Linked DNA regions of Daphnia pulex. The protein of the gene in region 1 purifies or fractionates together with the protein of each later gene. This does not show direct contact. Links are inferred from orthologs where the notes say so. Each region holds a gene or a part of one and is shown in the gene's direction. Other genes may lie near its edges.

Region 1 (10,961 bases):
TTTTAATTCATTTAAAATTTTAATTAATTAGTTTTAAAAATGTAAGCTTTCCGCAAATTGAGCCTCGCAGGTTTATCAATCTAGTTCTCCTTACAAAGGATATTATGTTAACAGTTAACTATTCAATATTATGTCTTTGAGCATTTAAAAGCTCGTTTTAGAATGTCTAACTTAAAAACCTTACTTAAAAAATAGATTTTATAGGAAACGGTTTTACCTCATATTGGCAAAATGTAAATCCATTGCTCCTCCCTGAGGAAAATTAGCTGACATTCTTTTCATTAACTCACAAAAACATGAATATGTGAGAGCTTCGTCTTCTATGATGACGAGTAAAGGAGCCACTAGATCACACATTCCTTGCATGTAACCGATATCAAGATGGCACCAAACATATCTGCAACAAAAATACTCGTTTTAGCTGTGTCTTTCAAATTATCGCGTTGGTTAAACCGCAGAAAAGTAGTTTTAAAAAATATGGTACTTTACACATGTTATAAAATGACAATAAAAAATAGCTTTAGAAATCACGGCGAAAAACACGAACAAGAGCGTTGCAAATATTTTGTTTTTCCCTTACGTGCACATAATGTTCCGAAGTTTGTCTAGATTACTAGGCGTAAAATAGTGGTAGTTTCGGTCACATCGTTGAACATCCTTGTCTATTCGATGTAAGTTGAGACCATACTTTTCCAGCAATTCCGCCTTATTCAGACATAAAGGGAAAAATTATCAAAATCTTTGTTGACTTGATAGGGTATTAAAGTCTCCCTTTGAAAAAATGCCCAACTACCCCAAAAGGATTGAATAATTTTACGTAGTGGAAAATTAAATTACCGTGTAAATTCCACCTTGGGAGCTTACGGGTGAAACACAAGATGATCTTGAACCTATGCTACAGCGGTCCATGCCGTCATCAATGATCAGATTAGGCAGACTGAGATTTGTGTCTTTAGTTGAACTAATATCAGCAACCATAGTTGAACCATTTTGTAAACTTCTACTGCCGTTGTTCTCCAATAATGTTTGCCGATGAACTGCAATTATTACAACACCAGTGTTCAATTAATAATTCTTCTAAAAAAATTGCCTTTCTAATTTTACTTTCAAAATCTATACATGCTGCAATATCATCTGCTGCGCAAGAAGGTGGATGAGTAGTTATAACTTTGACCATAGTAACATTTGATGGACAGACATCACAATCCTGACTTTTACTCTAAGAAACGAATAATAAAAAGTTGTCAAAATAAATTCATACAGTTACACGTGTAGTAATAACCTTTTCATCAATCGTTTCGTATGGGTGTTTAGCGATAACGTCATTCTCGTCTTCCAATTTATCCTCATTTTTGTCGTTTTCGATATGATCCGCCTCCAAGTCTTCAGAATCGAAAACCTTAGAAATACAAGAGCAATTCACGAAACTGAATTTTTTGATCGAATACGTAAATCTGAATATTATTACTTCATTGCTCAGTATCCTACTCTGGTCTTCGACGGGGTCTTCAAAAAGTTGATCTCCACTTTGTGACCCAAAGGAAATTTTGGCAATGCTCGCAGCAGTAATTTCTTTGTCTCTCTGGCGAATTATAGCTTCAACTGCAAGCCACTCTGACATTGTTGATTCGTACGCTGTTTGCATTGCTCTGTCTTGGGTGTGCCGTTCCTCTATTGTGCTTCCGAAGGGATAATGTCCAAGTAAATATGGCCACACCTTGAAAAAACGAAAATCTTTATAATCATTTGCATAAAAAGTAGATTTTTGAATTTTTAAAAGTCAACCTCTTTACGCAAGTTATGTTCAACTCCTCCATAATATGTCAAACGGAAAAGTTCAAAGGAGTTTGACAGCACACCATCCACCACCAGCCGTGACCAACTTTTTTCGTTGACCCCACTGTTTTCATCTAAAATTCAGTTAATCCCATAATTGGCAATTAATCGGCAATCAACAGAAATTTAACAGCATGATGATGATTAATCGGCAATAAATATTTAAAAAAAAGTGAAAATTACAACTGAAATAATAAAAATCTCACCACATGAATTATTCCTTGAAATGATCGCATCATTTACTAATCCAGAGAGATGGGTTCTAACAGTACGTAAGTGTCTGCAGTGTCCCAACCAGCCATAAAATGCTCGTGAAATTATCTGTCGCTTCATTGTTTCACACAGCACTTGCAAAGACTTCCTATATTCAAAAATATTTAATAAACAAGCAATCAAGAGAAATCCTAAGAGTAGGACCCAAATTTAAAAACAAAATCGTAATGAATTCAAGAAATTTCCTAATATAAACGTTTGAAAATTAATTTTTTAGATTTAATGAGTAATTTAATTTTCAGTCATATGGTGTTGCACTTAAAGAAATATTTTTAGACAACTTTGAATTCAAGTTAGTTCCGAACAGCTAACTTAATACAAATGTACTATTTAAAACACACCCCCGTTTAACGATGTTGTGGACTCCAATTAAGGTTGATGATTGAGAAGAAACAGAGTCATCAACTGTTTCGAAAAATACAGAATTGATGACACTGTTACAGGTGTTCTCAGCGAGGCTAAGACTTGCGGCAAAGCTTTTAGAAGAAGAAGACGAGCTGCTTGTAGATTCTGTTGAGTTAAAGGGACGGCTATGGTTAGTTGACCACCATCGTGGACTCATTGATCCTTAATAAATTATGAAAACAAAAAACAATGTGTGAATAAAAATATTTCGGCTTTTTAATTCACTTGGAATTTCATTCCCAAAAATTAGGAAATGCAAAGTTGTTTGCTTACTTTTTATCTGGGATATCAATCTGTAGTGGTAAACAGATGAAGTACTTAACGGTAATGGACGGGGAACTTAATATTAGGTAAAGTAAATATTTCTCTAAAAATACACCTTAAAAAAAAATGAATGCGGAAGATAGTTTGTTACGCATTCAGCTCTTGTTAAAAATTACTGTGTTACTCCCGCACTTTAAAACCGTTCTGAATCGTTAATATGAACTGCACGCTAAAAATTATTATTCCAGAATTCAAACTCATTGCAAGCGCAAACTATAAAATATTTAAAGACATTTTTTTTAAAGAACTAAATATTTTACAAGAGCTCTATTGTACACCAGGATCGACACAATAGGATTTTTAAATTGCATAAAATTTAAATAAAACTTTTACCTTGATTTTGGCAAGCGTTGGTTCCCTGTGATAAATAGGCATTTTCATCGGACGATTCTTGGAGTAATTCTAAGTGAAATATATTTAAGTAGTATCCTTATGCGATTTGATTACATATTCGACATCTAGTAACACTAAATCTATTTTTTGCTCATTTATTCCGTTCTCTAATATAATTTAGAACTGTTCAACAAATTTAACTGTTCAAGCAATTTCCAGTGTCCTATCGAAGTTTTAAACGCAGCCAATATAGTAATAGAAAAAAATGATTACCTGGATTATGATCGTGGACGAAATCACCACTCGTGGTTACAATGCGAAATACATAGTCTGATGATATCGACGATTCGTCTGTAATATCTTCATCGTTTCCGTTGCTTTCAACAGCGTTGTAGCTTAACATTGCGAGAAGATTGTCTCCGGATGAAGGTCCTTTTCTTTTTATTTTGGGAAATGTTTTGCCTTGAAACATAATACTTAATTATTTACAAATAATAATTTATACCATGAACATCTACGCGTTTTATGTAAAGCCAATTATTAAATTTCTGTGTTTTTTTTTCTTGTTTAAGCAATTTAGGTCATTCTATCATTTTCCGCACATCTGTCTCAAAAAGAAAAGAAATACATACCTTTATCTGTTTGGGTCCACAGGGGAGGATCTAATCGTCCACGGGGATTTAAGCCAGTTTCTAAACATGTTAAAAAGGCCAATAAATGGCCTCCGGCTGGAAAATGAATTGCGGGATATTGAACTCCATCCTGGCCAACGAGTACCATACTGCCACCAACATCAAATCCTTGAAAATTAATTTACAACGTTATTCTCAAAATCATACGAAACATTTGGACATGTATAAAAAAAACAACAATCTAAGTTATTACCTTTCTGGTGACAATGGACGTAGACGATGTCATACAAATTTACATGCAGAGCATAGTTCCAATACGTACTGAGGAAAAATATAATGATGAAACATAACATTACTTGACCGTCAGAAAACAAAAATTTACCGATAGATAACCCAGACAATTTGGTTTTCTTAGTTAGTTAATATCTATGGGTTCATTACTAAAATAACCGTCAGCCGTACAACAATATGTGAACTTATGATGTAAAAAAACTTAATAAAATCTGTTTGTGACACGAATATTATTTTCGGGAAATCATTCTTACAATTAAATTTATAGAATATCAATTTACCTTTTGTCAACACCATCGAAATCTATTCCGCCATTCATCAATTGATTTGGAGTCCATTTTAGAGTCAACGAATCCATAGCGTGGTGTAGCGAAAGGTATCCCGGAATCGGTTCTGTCAACTCACGCTGTTTATAATTATGAAAAATTACTACTAATGCAAGACAGTAAGACACACACAAAAAAATACATTATTTGGACAATACAATTTTAAACAACTCGTTTTGTCATTACACAAGAAAATGGGTTTTCTTGTACAACTGTAGCCCACTGTGGCCTCACATTGAAGCTTTCAACAATCTTTCAGCTGGTTTTCAGGGTTTTCGTAGCCAAACAAAAGAAGTTCTGGTGCTGTAAACTAAGGATGTGTATAATTGCTTACCGACAACACGAGGACGTTGTTTTTCCCATAAAGTAGAACAACTTTGTTGTTTTGATGAAGAGATTCCACATAATTCTTGGCGGTAGAGTTAACGTAACAATTTCTGCTCCCCATAGAACTAATCGATTCGCCATCACTGCTGCTACCTCCAGGTAAAAGTTTTCGGTACTGCAATCACAAAAAAAAAGTTTGAATGCAGTAGTAATGAATATCTTATAATCTGGATCAGTTTTAGCATTTTTAAATGAGAAAAGGTTCGCAATGTATATCATGATTCATTCGAATGAAACGTGCTGGGCTACTAGCAGAACTCAGAATGGGATGTAAATAAAGCGCTTGGAGCGTTACTTAAGCCCCTACCGGTAGAGGCTAGAACTAAAGACTAAATTAGCTGCTCAAATGACATAATTAACATTTGGATACCATTAACAATAAATAATAGAGAATACGATGTAACTTACATGAAGTCCTGGACGTCGATTAGCTGGAGAGGTTACGCCTGACGATACGTAACTAGAAATACGATGCCTCTGAACAAGTTCGTCGGCAGGTGGGTCCGTCCAATAATGATCCTTGGTTTTTAATTTGGTAAACTCAAGAGCACATGGACCAGCTATAAAGAGAATAGATTGTTTAAAAAATAAGATACGGAATTTCTAACTATACACAATTAATACGATTTGACCAAGTATTTTGTTTTAAATATTGAAAGATAAACATCGCATTTGTTCGCAACATTTTGGGGAAACGTACTCGTTCTCCTTTTAAAAATATACATGGAAAACATATAGACCTACAATGTTCATTTTTCAACTCACCGAGAAGATGACCTAAAAGGGAGCCGTATTCAGGATCTGCGACAAGGGCGTCGTTTTCATAATATTTCCTATGGTTCAATTTACTATAATTAATAATCAATAAATGGAATCAAATAAAAAACCACTTACAAATGATTCTCAACGATATGCTCAATAATCCCTGCCAAAATGCGTTCAAAAAGTGCTAATCGGATCCAAAGATATTTTTGTGTACTGGTTCCTTTAGATAACCACGAACCCGAATTTCTTTTCTGCAAAATGGGCTTGATACCGCTTCCTCCCGTTCCTCCGCACGAAAGCATTCTGGTGATGCTATCTCCGCTTGAAGACGATCTTCTGTGCATAAAAAAAAAAAAAACAAGAACAAACAACAATGTACATAAGATACGACTTCAATTTAAATCCGAGTAGCCTATAATCTGCCTATAATCTATGAACAATTAAACTTCAAAGGTGACAACAAAATTTGCACATACTTTACTCCTTCAGAAGAATCGGCTTCTGTAATGAGCTTTGAAATTACTGCAGCAGGTGGGTATATTTTGGCAACTTTATGCATCAAAGCCGTGGTTGACGATGAACGAAAGAGCCCCAGCGCTCGCCGCCGAAGTCCATGAGACAAGCACCCCTCTACGGCGGCTGCCAAATAAATTTTGTAACGTAAAATATTAGATCTAAAAATCATACCAGTGTATAAAATATCACGTCCCAACAAATATTTGCACAACACTGAATTCATTCAGATTAATCGAAAATTTTAGCAAAATAACAATTAATAAAAGTAAGAGACTTCCGGTCGAATGATTTTTTAAAATGGATAAATAAGCGATAATCGCAAAAATATGGAATCAGCGATCAAATGTGTAGCAACATTCTTTACACATGCATTACTTTGATCAAATTTTATGAGCTTACCACAAAGGGATGTGACGGAGCTGCTGTCTTGGTGCACAAACTTGCGTGTCACTGCCTCTTCCATGATTTGTTTTACCTATGTGAAGAACACAGTTAATATTTTATATATTGACTAGTAACTAGTAATATTCAGTTGGTAACTAGAAAGGGGGCGGAGATGCTTTTGTCAAGGACTTTCATAAATTTTTACCCAGTTACCTTTTCATTTGGTTTAACTTGCCTTTTTCGTCACATTGTTTTTTCGTTTCCTTTTTTGTTTTTCCTGTTGCTATTTCCCCCTAGTTTCTACGAAAAAAGTACCAGAGTGCGGACCCCATGACCAATTGACCATTTCAAAACGCCGTGCGCAAGCGTGATGTCGACGGCCGGTACTTACTTGATTAATTTCAATATGTATTTAAGAAAAAACCGCTAACCTTCTTAGCCACGGTCTTTTGAAAAGAAAAAAAAAACTTACAACTTTGGCTGAAATTTTTTCGAATAGAAAATTATCGACTAAAAAAAAGATAATCACAGGCTCGCAGCCCAGGAGTGAAAATGCTGCAAATCATTCCCTATAAAGTATAAAGACAAATGTGGGTTGGATCGATTGCATCTACTCGTTTGACAGTGTTGCCGCTGTGATAAAATACCGTATTTACGATGTCTTAGCAAAATATCAGAACCTTATCCTATTACCCAATAAATCGACGACGAGCTGTTTATTTATGATTTATCTCATCTTACTACGAAATTAATCCAATGAAGAAGAAAATGATGTTGCGACGTTAAAAATATGGCTTTCAATTTATGGGGCGTAACACCTATAGTTCAGTTAGCGATCGATACGTAAGTAAGGCTGTATTTGTATACGTTTTAAAAAACCAAAATCCGGTGTATAGATTTTTAGTTTTTCGCATTAATCAAAAGATAAAATGCGAGTCCTTACCTCTTTTTTTACAGTTTTGATAAGACGTTCTTTGAACTCCTTGTCTGAAATAAAAAATTCTGTTAGTCATTCTCATGCAATAAATGTATGATATTGCTTCTAAAATTTAGAAAAGTATGTTTTACTATAGTGATCAGGTTATGTCTGACCGACTAGCTTCCATAACTTACCATTTGATGAGTGAGCCATCTTCATAACAGGTGGATAACTAGAAAAAAACAGCAATCGGCTTCCAAATGTGCATATAACGTTACAATTATTACGCCTTCAGATCAACACGACAACTTATAGCGGGGCGGCCAATTGGCAATTGCCAATCTACGAAGGGTTCAGTGTGTTGGAAGTCAAAAGTTTATGGTAAAATGGAGTAGTAGAAGTTCGGATTGTACATGAATACACTATCGTCTTCGGGCACTTGTTGTCGATGTCCGTCAAACTAAAAAACTGGTTGGTTCGACAGCCTGTGGGAAGCACAAAACCGCAGCATGAACGTATTCACAGAGCTCAACGTTTTACGTCACCTACGGGTAGCAATGCGCTTGCGCATGTCAAATGTTTTCAGTGTGTATAATTGAAACAGGAAATGGCCTACAAATATTTAAATCGTGTTGTGTCAACGTTATATTTGGATGTCATCGTGGGAGAATCAAACTCCACGAGATTATTTACAACTTGACTGCGCCAGCCATTTGAATGTTATCCAATGATCAATGCCCTATTTTTCAAATAAAAACTCAATAATTAATAGTCAACTTTTTTTTTGTAAACATTTACTTACTTTGCAGTATACCTTCATCGAAATAAAATTTTAGTTGAAAACATGGTTGAAAAAATTTCCGTGTAAATAGATGTGATAATATTGCCGAATCTAAAAAAAAAAGTGAAATTGGCAACCTTTATGACGTAGTTGAGTTTTGTATTGAATAGTGAATAGTCAGTCAGTGGCCTACTGAAAGTGCAGCAGCTGGGAATGAAATTAAACCAATGTTAAAGTTCACAGACTAGATGCTTTAACTTTGAATTATCCAATTGTAAACTAGTATTCTAATTTTCCATTCAACGTTTTTCGTGAGTGGTATTAGACACGTTAAAAAAAAGTTAAATAATATTGCTAGTGAATGTAATGAAATGCTTGTATTTTTAGGTTTTAATTAGAATGGCTGTAGATGAAGAACCCGACACTACTGCGAAAAATAGCGCAGGAGGTGACAACACAGAAAATAAAAGAAATGAAAGTAGAGGTGAAGAAGAAAGAGCCTTTGAATGCAACATATGTTTGGATACGGCAAAAGATGCAGTCATTAGTATGTGTGGACATCTTTTTTGGTACAAGTCTAAGGAATGTTTCCATGTTTTCAGAGATTGTGTTGTTTAATTTCCCTGTTTTATTACATGAAGCTGGCCGTGCTTGCATCAGTGGCTGGAAACAAGACCAAACAGGCAGTCATGCCCTGTCTGCAAAGCTGCTATAAGCAGAGATAAAGTTATACCATTATATGGACGTGGGGGCTCAAAAGAAGATCCAAGAGAGAAATTGCCTCCTAGACCTCAAGGTCAAAGGACAGAACCAGAAAATACAGGAGTAAATATTTATATAATTTCACTACATTTCATTGTGTAAATGATGAAGTTGGTAACACATATTGTGTACCCTTACGCAAGTGTAAAATAAGAATAATATTTTTTTATTAACCATGACCAAACATTTCAGACTACTGAATCATTTTCTTTTTCAAATTTACTTTTTCAGGCTTTCTCGAATTTTGGATTTGATGGGGGATTTCAAATGTCTTTTGGAATTGGAGCCTTTCCATTTGGATTATTTGCTTCCACTTTCAACTTTGGTGATCCTGTTATTAGAGGTGAAGATACATTAGAAATCAATCAACCTGGTTAATAATAGTAAAAATCTTGCATAGGTCACGGAGCCCATGGAACAAATCCTGCAAATTTGGAAGACGAACGCTTTTTGTCACAATTATTTTTGTGGGTTGCAATTCTTTTTATCTTTTGGTTATTGGTAGCTTAAACTTGTGGTTCTTGGTTCTTCTGTGTTGTAAATTTTTTATTCTAAAGATTCCCGGGGTTTATACTTTTAATGAAGTATTTCTCGAAAATTTCCTAGACAGTGGATTTATATATATGAAAATTAAAAGTGAAATGTTCAGAGATTGCAAGTCTTGTTAAATGAAATTTTTCCCTTATTAAATAGATCATTCGTGAATAACATTTAAACCATATTTTTTAAAATGTGTAGAAAGGACTAGACTATATATTAATTAAATTAGTTGATCAATTGGTTGTACAAGCTGGTCATCAAGATATTCTTGGGGAGTGAATAACAAAATGAAAATAATTACAGTATACATGAAGTAATCCTCAGAGGACACCTGAGAGAACCAAATATGGAAAAGGTAGGCTAATTAATTTTTCATTTCGATGATAAAATCAATAGAATGCGGGAAGCGCTAATAGGATTATACTTTTTGTAGAAAATGTATTTTTGAGTGATTGTACAAATAAATCATGAAACTACCGAAATTGATCCAAGTTCATGTCGGCCCACATTCCACCCATAGGATCGATGTCGACTTCTTCAATGGTTGGCTTGAAAACGATAGCTTTTAACATATGCATATATTTTGTTTTTCACTTTAAATTGAATTTACCTCTTCATCAGAATCAGGAAGATCATCAGCTTCCAAATCCAGATGATTTTCTAGTTTAGCTACCAATGCGTTTTCAAGCCTATTGATGGCCTCAATGGTTTTTACGTTATTCGGTTCAAGCCTAAAATTACAAAGAAAAAAATTAAACACATGCATAGTATGTGAATATGCAAGTTAAAGTAAAATCAAGTGATAAAGATTCTCGTACATTAGTGCAGAATTGTACTGTTCCAATGCTTTATCCATATCTCCATTTTTTATGAATAGGTCTCCCAAAATATGATGTAACCTGTTTGTAGGTTGCTGATTTATTTGCTTAGTAAGCAGTTCAATGGCTTTTGATCTCTGGCCAGCCTGAAAATAATTGTAGTCAATGGTAGTTCAGTGAGTGGTTCTGTAGGATTGTACAGCTACTCACCTGCTCATACGAGTCGATTAAAAGGAATACAGCTGGAGTGTATCGAGGATCTACAACGGAAAACGTTATACAATTTTTTTTTTACACCGGAAACTATTCATGTTAATTTTACCCATGTTCAAAGCTCTTTCAAGGAAAACCTTGCCCTTTGCGGTTGTAACAGGATCCTTCAACAGGACGGATGCGTAGAGCTGCAAAGAGCAGTCAGCAATTTAATTAATGGCTCATTTGATAAAAATCTGCTTTAAACGAATGATTAACACGAAACACTGTAAAGAATGCTAACCGTGAAAGTGCGAGGTGTATGACCAATATGATGAAGAGAGCTAGCAGCTATATTCATGGCTTCTCGACTTCGCTGAAGCGCTAGATAACAGTGAACTATACCACGATAGATTTCGAATCGGTGCGGAGCTGTCTGTAATCCTTCCCTATTATCATGTTAAACTTGTTGTTAAT
Region 2 (11,803 bases), on another chromosome or scaffold:
GTTGTAACTAGTACTAGAGCAACTATCGAATCGCGTGCTATCCGGGTGTGGCGCTATACCTGATAGGCTGTCATGTAAATTTGTCAATTTGACAACAAACCTTAAAAAAAAATACTGCAGTTATAATGTATCTCCTTATTGCTGGATTGCTAGTATTTTTACATGCAGCACAATTGTTTTCTCCAATCCAAGGTAATATTTTCAGTTTCATAAATATATAAATACACAACTATGTGGAAATTTTACCTTTTCATTAGCAATACAAGGAGATTATGTTGGGTGCTATCAATATCAGGAGATAAACAACGGTCAAAATTCTATGAATTTTATGATAAATAACCCAGCTGCAGCAGATTCTCCTACAAGCTGTCTATCCCAGTGCAGGCATCTTCAGTACAAGTAAGGAGAAATAAGCTATGTCTAGATTAGAAATCTAAATATAATTCTCCATCCTGCAGATATTCAGGAATTCATGATGGGAAGCAGTGTCTATGTACAAGTTCACTAGGTGCCCAATCTATCAATGATACTTGCCCTTTGACTTGTATATCAGATAATTCAAAATTATGTGGAGGTCCAAGCTCAATGAGTGTTTATGAAACCGGATTCATAGGTAACATTTTCTCAGCTACTGTATCCTATAGATTGTGTTTAAATTGTTTTGTTTTTTTATTTTACCAGTGTCTGGGCCACCTAAATCTTTATCACAGCTGAGTAAGCATGAAAATACAATGAAAATTACTTGGGAGCATCCAGTCATTTCCAATGGAATTATCCTGGAATATCATGTTGCTGCTACTCCAGTGTCTTCATATTCAGTTAGTACAGTAGGTCTCCCAATGGATTGGGTTTTCTCAAACGTAACAACAACAACAGAACTACCAGGACTTCAGCCTGGTACTCAGTATAATATTACTGTTAAAGCTAAAACCATGGATGGATATGGTGTGCCATTATCAAATATTTTCAATACTGAAATTGGAGGTAAACAGTAAAACTAACATGTGAGTTTTTCAGCAATTTTTAAATATTTGTATTTAGCCCCAGATAAACCAGAGCGTCCCGTGGTGATCAAATCAGCTAATAACACGGCCACAATCCAGCTGAAACCGATCTTACCCAGTCACGGACCCATAACATCCTACAGAATCATAGTTTTAAACGAAGATGCTGCCTCCATAGGTGTACACAAAGATAGCCCGTTAAAAAACTGGGCAGAAGCAAAAGCAGAAAATATACCGTTTTACATTGCTGCCGAATTAAGCCCGGAGGTTTGCTAAAAAAATGTTTCCTCTTCAAATAAATAATTGCCTTTTTTAATGATATAATTTTTTGCTTTCAAGTTTTTTAAGCAAGAGTTTGTGGTCGGAGATGGTGGAAACTATGGTGGAACTTTCAACAATCCTCCATTACCTGATGATCGAGAAGTACTTTTCGTTTTAGGGGTTGTATCTACATACGAAGGTGTATCTAAATACTCCTTTTCCGAACCGAGTAATCCTATAGGAGTTGACGCTCCTGAAGTTGGGCCAAAGTTTGTCGAAGCCGTTGCCGAAACTCAACCTCCCAGCCAGCAAACACCTTTAGTAGTTGTGGAAGAAGATCCTGGCACTAACGGCAATAGCTTCACTAAATTACTGGAAGAAACAGATTTGATTGACAAAATTCCTATTCGGAAAACTAAACCCATAACCAGTGGTCGAAGCACAACTCGCCGACAGCGACTTCCGTATGGAAGAGATCCTCCCGCTTTAGTCGTTGGCTTGTCCGCTGCCATCGGCGTTTTAGGCTTTTTACTTCTTATTTCCATCTTTGTCTATTTTTATTTGCGTCATAAAGTTCATCGCAACGACTTAAATCGCCGCAAATGCTCGAGAAAACAATCAGACAGACAGGGTCTGACTCACGGAGGTTCTACCTCGACAATTGAATTGGTATGTATGGCATACTAAGTTAAATGATTGAGAAATTAATTCTTGTATCTTATCATAGGATAGTGGCTACGTGCACTCTTCGTTTGTGATGGGAATTGAAGAGACTGCTGTCGATCATTACGAATCATTAATTCAACGTATGTGGACAATTCCATCCGAAAATATTGTTAAAACCGCAGATTCGATTGGATCTGGAAAGTTTGGCAAAGTATTAAAAGGCAACATTCAACGAGGCGAATCTAAAATTGAAGCGGCTTTGCACATCATTGAAGGTATATTCATTAGAGATGTTTTCTAATTATTTCAATCATATTTAAAAACTGTCATTGTAACCTGTTGGAAACATTTAGACAAGTCTTTGGCAAAAGGAGAAAGAAATTCCATGTTAAAAGATCTTGGAGTCCTGATTAAGGTTGGGCAACATGCTAATATAGCAGGTATTATTGGCGTATGTGAAGAACCAGGTAATAAAAATAATTAATAATGTATACAATATTTTCATATTAATTATATGTACATATATTATTATAAGTAAATACTGAGTTCATGTCTCACTGTGTTTTAAATTACAGAAATGATGTTGGTCGCTACGGAATTTTATGGGATGAATTTAAAGGAATTTTTACTAAATAGTCGCGCATTGAACAACTACCCGTCTTATGCCACTAAAGAACAAAGATTCTCAACCTTACACGAAGCTCAAGCCATAGACGTAGGTCTTGGTATCACCAAGGGAATGGCTTATTTGCAATCATTATCGGTCAGTTTTCAATTCTTTTCTTCAGATAAAATCCATCTAAAATAATTGTTTCTGTATATCTATGTAGGTACCTCACAAAAGGCTATCTTCTAGAACGATTTTCATATGCAGCACCGACGGAACTGTTCCTAAGATCTCGGGGTTCGGAATGGACTATTATCAACCAAACAATGGACAGGTGAGCACTAAATTAGAACGGAAATGTATTTTTAAACTTTAATGCTTATTTTCTGTCTAATGTGATAGAGCACCGATTTTAAACGCTGGATTGCTCCTGAAGCGTTGACGAGTCCTCAGCATGCACCCAAATGTGAAGTTTGGTCATTTGGCATCATCCTCTGGGAAATTGTTACCCTTGGTAATTAATGTGCATCTTTTTCTTAATAATTATTAAAAATGATTTTAGCTTTATTAGCAATCAAAAATAAATACAAAATAAAACTATTGAATTAGGTGCAACCCCTTATGTCGACATTCGGGTCAGTAAGGAGTTGATTCAGCGTGTCCAACGTGGGCTGCGGTTGAAACAGCCTGGTAATATCGGACTTCCTCTTTATCAAATCATGGTTAGCTGCTGGCAGATCGATCTTGATGAACGCCCCGCCTTTCAGGAACTTGTTGAAGTTCTTCAACAAGCATTTAACCAAGCACTTGACTATTTGAGTTTTAATCTCTATCCCGAGTTTACTTACGAAAGGTACGACCCGACTGTGGAAGTGAATCGATAATTGACGCTGTTTGCATGACTAAAATTAGCTTTTCGAAAGATTGCTGGTTTTATTTCTGTGACTAAGTTTAAAAAACAGTTATGACAAGTGCAAAATTTTAAGTGAGCCGTCCAAGCGAGGGGAAGTTTAAGAGATCCGTCCAAAAGTACATCGCCGAATTTCTTGTTTGGCGTTCTACGTTGTTTTCTCAAATAACTGAAGGTTTTTAAATTAGGTCTTTACGAAAATGTTGTGCAGTCTTCGTTTGTATTTTTACGAAATACACTGATTTTATATGACCTATTTAGTTAGTACTTTTTAAAAAAAGTAGCATTCTGTAATTGTAATACACAGAAAATAGTATGAGTTATGCATGTCAGCATGTGCACCTAGAATTTCTATAACTGTAAACATGTCGCTTTAAACTTGGTTGGCAGATAGTTATGACAAAATTCAACAGAATATTGGAGCAGCCTGATATCCTTAGCAACGGAACTAGAAAACTTTAAAGCAATAAAGAATGTTCAACAGTAAAATTGACAGTGATTTAAGCTAAAGAAATCTACCATCTCATATTACTCAGTACTTCATCAATCTTCTCCTCTTCCCCATTTCCGTCGTAGTAGCGGTAGTAGCATCGCAAGCGAAATTGAAATTCCTCTCCTCTACGACTTGTCCGAACAACAAAACTATAGAATAAACATTTCGGACAAGCCGTGGGACCCTCCTAAATCTTAAAAAAAAAAAAAGAGAGAAAGAGAGAGATTAGGCTGAGTGGAATGTTTAAAAAAAAAAAAAATTTATTATTCAAAATTGAAATTACAATGTTTTTTGAAAATTTCGCAGTTAATGATGAAATAATACTTACTCGTCTAATTCAGCAGTAGCAATGTTTTCAACGGGATAAAGTGCGTTTACGACACGCTTATGTCTTGAACCTTGATATTAAAAGACGTTCAATTTTGAAGCGTTCACAGGCAGGTAGTTTAAAGGAATAATGGCAGTTCCGTTCCATCGGAACTGATTGTCAAATTATTCATCGGTTCTTTGGCCAAATTAGCCTTCTACTCTACCAAATGGGTTATGGAAGTCGACTAATCAAATCCGGGAAGTAAATTCCTTTCCCCGCTTCCTAGAAAAGCGATGCGATCGCGAAAATCAACTCCTAGTCCCCTCCTTCTTTCCCCCCATTGCAAAATTTAAAAAATATAAGCGATAGGGAATTTCGGCATTCTGCGAACAGAGAAAAATCCGGTGTGTTAAGGCAAACAATTCAATTCTATTTTAGTCCGTTTCCGGATTAAAATAAAACCCAATTCCGGATTCAAACTTGAAGGTGCACTGGTGTGTGAGAATGGGAGATGGCTTGTTTTTAGTTATTATGGGATTAAGAATTGTTAGCGCGTAATTAAGAACTTATGATGAAACTTTTCCTTAATAGATGGCTGCACCGTCGATGTGTACACTGTAGGCCTACAGTCTTTTCGTGTCGACTTATTGTAATGGAACAATTTTGTTATCTTTTAGTAAATCAACAAAAAATTCAGTTTTAGACAAGTGTTTTGTTTAATTGTTTAATTCCATGATACGGATTTCTCGGTACAGCTTGCATGGTAAGTAATATTTTAAAATGTCATTCATGGTAGATTATTGTCAGTCGTTATAAGAGTAAGAAACTGCAACTTAAATCGATTGTGTTAGCTGAGTGCCCTGTCTATTAAACCTTTATTATTATATTAATAATATCTTATTTCTTTCTTTACCTTACCTTAGTGGTAGGTGAATTATGCCACGAGACAATCTTTTGTTTGGAGTAGGTCTATTCCCAAATGGCCTTTTTAATAACAACATACCTAGAAACAACATGAATGGTGCTGGACCTACTCTGCTTAATAACAACAATCCAAATTATGTAAATGCTAATCAGTTAGCTACTGTGAGAGATAGAATGTTCCATGCCATTTTTCATCGAATGGCTATTGCATATGCCAGGACATTCCCAAAACCTATTCGAAGACTTTTGGAATGGCTCTTCCTATTAAAGGTAAAAAATTAACTTAAAAGAAATATTTATCCTTATAAGTTTTGATTGTTTTTAGGCACTGGCAGCTTTCCTAATGCTTCTGTATATACACATAATTTTTTCCCGTTCCCCCATCACCTGTCTGGATCACATAAAAGCTGACTGGCCACGAGAGGGTATTGTGAGAATTGACATTACCAGAAGTGGAAATGGTCCAGACATACAGGGTTATTCATTACACCATTCTTATGCTAAAGAGCAAAGGATACATCAGAGAGAGCAATTTGAATATCAGGCTATGTTTGGTTTTTGGAGTGGACCATATAGGTAATTGCCTGCAAAGAGGAACTACTTAAAAAAAAGGATGGTAAGCTCAAATCATAAATGATTTGAATTTTTTTTTTTTTTCAGTTCTTCAGCTGACTCAGAAGAAACTGAATCATCCGCGCTTAAGGAGACGACGGAATTGTTATCAGACGAAATTTACTTCAATGATACTTTGACCAACAATATCACGAATTTGGATGATGAAAGGATTGATTCTCTGCTTCCCACAGAGGTTTCAGAACTCGATAAAATCATAAGAGCCAGTAAGTAATTATTTATAAATAAATTCTGAATGATAGTATTGTTTGTTCAATTCTTACTCCTTAATTTTTTTTTTTTTTTTTCCAACCAGCAGTGTGGCCACCGGAAGAGTATATTGTAGAGTTTTCTTTGGAGTACGGTTTTTTGCGTTTGAGCCCTACAACCCGAAGAAAATTAAATATCACTATTTTGCTCGTTACGCTGGACCCGGTTAACAACACTTGCTTCGGCGACAGCTTTGGGCGATTTTTACTTGATGAATTTCTTGGTTACAATGACTTTATCATGGGAGCAGTCAAGGCTTTGGCTGAGGCAGAAGACAGTCAGGGATATCTTCGGTATTTTTTGCCATCTTTATTTATATTAGGGACCTCTAATTAATGCTTGTATTTTTTATCCGTATATTTTTTGATCGCGTTTGCACAGGAACGTGGTGACAGGTGAACATTACCGGTTTGTCAATATGTGGATGGCTCGTACATCGTATATTGCGTCCGCCTTTGCCATGGTGATTTTTGTAAGTCTAAATCCTAGTCGGTTATTTAGTTCATGTGTCTGTATATTAATTTCGTTGGTGTATTTTTTTCTCCCTCTCATTAGACTTTGTCGATATCGATGTTGTTGCGGTATTCACGGAATCAGATCTTCATTTTTATTGGTAATTTTTTCTTTTATTACTCAGTGTTGTCAAAATCAATTAGAAACTATTTTTGAAATAATTTCGTTCAATATTGTGCAAAAACGGTTTTGCCAAATAGCCAAAGATTTTGACATCGCTATTATTGTTTTATAACTTTTTATCTATATATTTAACATTAGCGATTTGTAAGTTCTTTTATCCATATATACTGAAATAGTGTTAAACGGTAGTAGTAGTCGATACGGACGCTTCTACCAATGCTTTAAAAACGTTAGAGTCAGAAAAATAATGCGAATGAAATAACCCAGTAGGAGGTAGAGGGCAGACCATGACGAGGGGGAAAAGAAAATGCTGCATTCACCATAGGTAGCAATGGACAGTTTCGATCTACACTCACAAACCTCCCCGTATCCATTAGGAGATTATATCAGTTGTAGGACATTGAGGAATCATCCGGAAACGACAATTCTACCGTAGAAAGTGGTTAAAGGCAAATACTTGGAATAGTAGTGGAATAAGCGAAGTAGAGAGAGAGTTACTTTCCTCGGAGACAAATTAAAATGGTTTAGTTTTGTGCTTGGGTGTGCTTGTTTTCAGAATGCTCTAGATAGGAAATTAAGCATGTGTGATCAAGTTTGATCATTAGTACCATTTGCCGTGTGTTTCGTCGGTCGTCTTTGGGAAGAAACCCAACGAAATGGTGGATATTCTGTTGTTGAACGTTTGCGAATGAAAGGTGGAGACCATGTTTTCAGTGTTTTCGTAAGCCATTCGGTTATCTCGTTCTTTTCTTTTAAGCATTATTTTTCCCATTTTTCTCCTGCGTTAACGGGTCGCGCATAGGGGTTGTTTTCGTGTTCACTTTTAAGTAAGGGCTTCCACTTGAGCGATCCGTTGGATAATTGGAACTGGGGAGGGAGGAAAGAGTTGAACACGCATTGATTAACAGAGGAGACGAGAAGCAGGAGAAAAACTTTCAACAAAAATGTCGTTCTACTGATTTAGTTCCTCTCTTAATCTCCACTGTTCTCCCTTCTTCTCTCTTTCCTTCCCTTTTTCTTCGCTTCCTACGTTCCGTGGGGAAATTGGTCGCTTTGAACATCCGTGGCCGATACCGTTTTCCTTAGGTGTAGGAGGGAGACATATCGGAAGAAGGACAAGGTTAGGTAGTTCTTTCGTCACTGTAAACGACATGCAGACAACTCGCACGCGTTTACTTTTGCAACTGAGCGGATCCATCCAAGTAGTTTTGACTCTTCAAAATGAAATTGAAATAATGCGAACATTACGGTCGCCAAATAACGATTCCTAAGTAAATCAATAAAACGTTAATGTGTGAAATCCAGAATCGCGCTAATGAATGTACAAGAGATCTCGTCGAATTTCGCTCCTATATCTCCACTTTATTTATTATCGCCCGCTTTTATCTCTGTCAAAAATTAACATCAGTGTCTCATTTTTTATGCGTTGCAGACTAAGTGGGTTAGCAATTCATACCTTTTTCATGCCTCTTGTACTGGATTTTGCAACTTTTTGAAGTTCACTTGATGACTGTGATCGGATTACGTGCGTGCCAGCGGGCCCAAAATCTGCATGTCACTTTATACGGTCCGGCCATCAACGTTGTGATGTTGCTCTCCTCCGAATCAAACTAGGCTCTGGAAATCAGAGAGAGAGAGAGACAGAAGCAATTTATTTTATTATATTCGCAGTAAAATGCATCCCCCCGATTCGTGAAGGCAGTTTTAAAAAGGTCATAGTTTTTCGAACTTAATTATGTCACAGAAACTTTCGAATGCAGAACTCAAATTGAAAAAAAAAATGCCCATTGTTGATTGGAAAAGTTATGTTATTTTTACAAATCATTGTGACTGTAATCTGATAAATTTTACAAAATCGACAGTCGACTTGCTGCAGATGCTGGAATTCAACATAAATGTCACTTTTCCAGTCGCGTCATTTTTCACCGTCATTCTGGCTTTAGTCGGCAAGTTTTTCCTCCTTTTTACCAAATAAATTAGTAAACATTTGGTGGTAAATTTAAAATATTTTCACGAATTTTCTTTTAGGAATGGAAGCTATTATGGCCGAATTCTTCAACGACAGTTCCACTGCCTTTTATGTCATTATCTTCGTCTGGGTGGCAGATCAGTACGATGCAGTTTGCTGTCACACTAGCGTCACCAAACGTCACTGGCTCAGGTAAGAAGTTGTTTTTTTCCTCATTCTTGGCCAATCTCATAATATTGATCCATCAAAACATCTAGTCACTACGTAAAATCGCAGCGCTCTAGCTCCGATTTTTCGTCTGTCAACCGAATTTGAATAAAATTTTTTTCAATTGGTATTAATGGTGATAGTGAGGCTTCTTTGGGGTTTCTCCAGTGAGAAACTAGAAAGTCCTCCACAGCAGGGGTTCAAAGTCATTTTAATAGAATTTGCATTTGATTAGCCCGGTCGTTATGCCGTCGACTGGTCGTTTGAAGTCGTTCCGAGTTTAGAGATTTCATGCAAATAAAAAGTGTGGGCAACCATTTCTGGCGCCTGCAACGATAAATTCCGATGAGACTCCATCTGGCAAGAAAAATCTAGAAACAGCTCCCTCCCCATCACCACTTGTAGTTTTTCACTTGCCCTTTTCCAGTCTCCCCTTTTCTGTTTATTCATCATTTGAAAAGCATCGCGCCAAACATTCACGTGAGACAGAAACAGGTGGGATTTACTGTAGCGCATTGGTGGAAGGAAGTTTATTTTCCCTCGTCTGTTTATTCCCCGCGCTCTTGGAAAGGCTTTAAGCGAAATTGACGGAGACTAAAGCGCCAACAAAGGCATTAGTTAACCGCCTTGCGTCCCTATTTTGTGGAAAACCGGGCAACGTCAGAACTAGTACAAGTTAGTTGGTTATCCGTGGGCTTGATGAGTTTTTGCTTTTTGAAATAAGTTTTTAACCCACTCTTCCAAGTCCTCCATGTGATTTGATAGACCGTGAAATGGAATGTCATGAAGGCTTTGGCCAATACTGACGATTTAACCCTCTCTTCGATGTCGAATTTTCCGCTCTTTCTTTCTTTTTTCTTTCTTTTTTTATATCTTCAATTAAAATGGCTTTCACGGCTCTCTTGACTCGCTCCCCCTTTTCCATGCATACCAAGTACCACCACAGATCAGAAGTCTGTGTCGCCCTCTTATCGTTCTTGTCGCCGGAAATGTCGCCTCCTCGACCTCCTGTCATATCGTGAGCCCGTCACGTTAGAGCCACCGCGCACTGCGCTGTGCATGGGACTCGTTTTAATTTCCCCTTGGCTGGAGATTCACGGCCTTCAAGAATTCCCGCATGTTTGTGTGTTGTCAGTTTAGGGTTGCCTAGTTCGATTCGTTCAAGTGAACAAAGAGGAATCGACTCTTTTCCGTCGAAACGTCAATCTTTTACTTGCCGATGTCTTTTCTTTTTGGGTTTGCCGAAAGCGCTTCAACAGTTTGGTTCGGATTATGTCGTGATAACAATATCACATAATTAAGGTAGAAGGTTGCTAGAATGATTCGCATTTGGTCGCAAAGGTCGCTGATGCTGTCCAGTGTCCACGTGGGAGGTAGCGCCGTCGCAAGAGGAAGGAAGTCGGTTAGAACTCGATGGAAAGGAACAGAAGGAGATAATGCCATAACAAAAAAAGCCAGTGGCCAGTGTTGGGTGGGGGGTCTCAAACGCATACGTTGATTATGTGCTATAGATGTGTAGAAGAAGAAAATATGGCCATGAAAATATATCGAATAGAGGAAGTTAATTATATCCAATCATCGACTGGATTATCCCGGGAGGTTGATGTTGAATAGACGTTGATTGAGCCAAAGTGGACTCTCCTGTATTGAGAGCTGTCGCCATTGCCATAGCCGATGCTCACGCATGGGGCATGCATGCGGGACTGTAAAAAGGACCGGAGCCAAAAGAGAGTGGGAGAGAAAATAAGGGTGAGGTTGAGTTGAGTGGCTGACTCGTCAATTCGTCATTGACCGCCTCCGGAGTGGATCTAATCAACAATCTGCTTTCCCTGTGCAGTTTCCCCACCGCACAGTAGGTGCTCGCTCAAGCATCTCCTACCACCTTCTCTCTCTCTCTTTCTCTTTTTCTTTCTCTTTCTCTTTTGAGTCTTTATAGATACATCTAGACGTGTCTCTCCATTTAGACTTTGACAGTATAATGGCGTACAATCTAACATTGTGTAATGTGTACAGAGCCGGCTCAGCTGAACGTAAACACGGCCAAATTGTATGTTTGATGTTTGATGTCGACAGCCCGAAATACCAGACGAAATGCTCATAAATGCTAGATACACTTGATTGGCTTTGCACGAAAACTCGCCACGAGGAATGGAAGGGCCAAATAATCAGCTGTCGCCTCATTGGCCGGCTGATGAAAGAGGGAGAGATATCATTCATGGTGGGACTCAATTGCTCAATCTAGAAATAATCGTTTTGACAACAGGAATCACAAGTTATTTAGTTGCAGCCAGGAAATGAAGTCTTATTGCGCCCAGTCAAAAGAACGGGAGAAATGATCTATCCGAAAGGCCAACAAATTTGCCTTCGTTAGCTTCCCCTTTCAGTCATATTGTTTGCTTTGTTGTTGTTGCTGTTGTTGCTGTTGTTGTTGGGAAAAGTTACTTGACGCAGTGATGAGCACGCATTCATATCTCACCGAGTAGTTCACTTATTAATACCGGAATCTGTGTAACGTTACGGTCTCATATTTGTCCGTCGCGGCTGTAGCCTGAAGACGAAAGTTGAGATCCTCTTTCACATCCAGTAGAGTGTGTATGTGTGTGTGTGTGTGTGTACGTCAGGGCAGCACAGCAAGATCGCACTTGTCGAACGGGATGGCAATACCTTTTACCTTTGATTAATTGAGACGGATCAGTCGCCCCCCCCTTCCCCCCCAATCGGGTTAAATCAAAACCAGCCGGAAGGTTCTGAGAAGAAGACAGCGTAAGCTAAGGAAAGAGACTAAAGGGAACGTGTATAGTGTATATATATATCTTAGTGTTGTTCCGTTGTGCTTTTTTGGATTCGTTATCGTTATCGTTAATCGTTATTTTTTCAATTTTTCATTCGTTTCGTTCTTCGTTTCGTTAATTTAAACGTGTCGCATTTTTCTTT

Evidence for each region.
Region 2: the proteins of E3 ubiquitin-protein ligase RNF185-like (region 1) and membralin-like purify together in Homo sapiens (affinity purification with mass spectrometry; 3 studies listed by BioGRID and IntAct, counting the BioPlex papers as one, with this or other methods). This does not show direct contact. The link is inferred for Daphnia pulex from reciprocal best matches to the Homo sapiens genes RNF185 and TMEM259.

Annotation. Positions count from the first base shown.
Region 1 is NC_060017.1:4,028,723-4,039,683, reverse strand, and holds E3 ubiquitin-protein ligase RNF185-like, read left to right. Parts: upstream 1-8,321; 5' UTR 8,322-8,446; exon of another isoform or gene 8,447-8,483; intron 8,484-8,559; 5' UTR 8,560-8,571; coding exon 8,572-8,741; intron 8,742-8,813; coding exon 8,814-8,997; intron 8,998-9,165; coding exon 9,166-9,277; intron 9,278-9,334; coding exon 9,335-9,444; 3' UTR 9,445-9,644; downstream 9,645-10,961. Other genes in the region: small G protein signaling modulator 1-like, read right to left, coding at 218-397, 581-705, 838-1,037, 1,105-1,219, 1,283-1,399, 1,469-1,717, 1,786-1,910, 2,043-2,197 and 14 more; anaphase-promoting complex subunit 7-like, read right to left, coding at 9,948-10,022, 10,085-10,205, 10,293-10,438, 10,503-10,552, 10,615-10,693, 10,789-10,933. UniProt on the Homo sapiens protein: E3 ubiquitin-protein ligase that regulates selective mitochondrial autophagy by mediating 'Lys-63'-linked polyubiquitination of BNIP1.
Region 2 is NC_060022.1:7,229,016-7,240,818, reverse strand, and holds the start of membralin-like, read left to right. Parts: upstream 1-4,845; 5' UTR 4,846-5,014; intron 5,015-5,174; 5' UTR 5,175-5,187; coding exon 5,188-5,445; intron 5,446-5,500; coding exon 5,501-5,751; intron 5,752-5,835; coding exon 5,836-6,014; intron 6,015-6,103; coding exon 6,104-6,350; intron 6,351-6,438; coding exon 6,439-6,529; intron 6,530-6,612; coding exon 6,613-6,670; intron 6,671-8,555; coding exon 8,556-8,639; intron 8,640-8,721; coding exon 8,722-8,854; intron 8,855-11,803. Other genes in the region: uncharacterized protein LOC124196175, read left to right, coding at 126-192, 258-399, 459-613, 682-984, 1,042-1,271, 1,344-1,934, 1,993-2,206, 2,285-2,398 and 4 more. UniProt on the Homo sapiens protein: May have a role in the ERAD pathway required for clearance of misfolded proteins in the endoplasmic reticulum (ER). Promotes survival of motor neurons, probably by protecting against ER stress.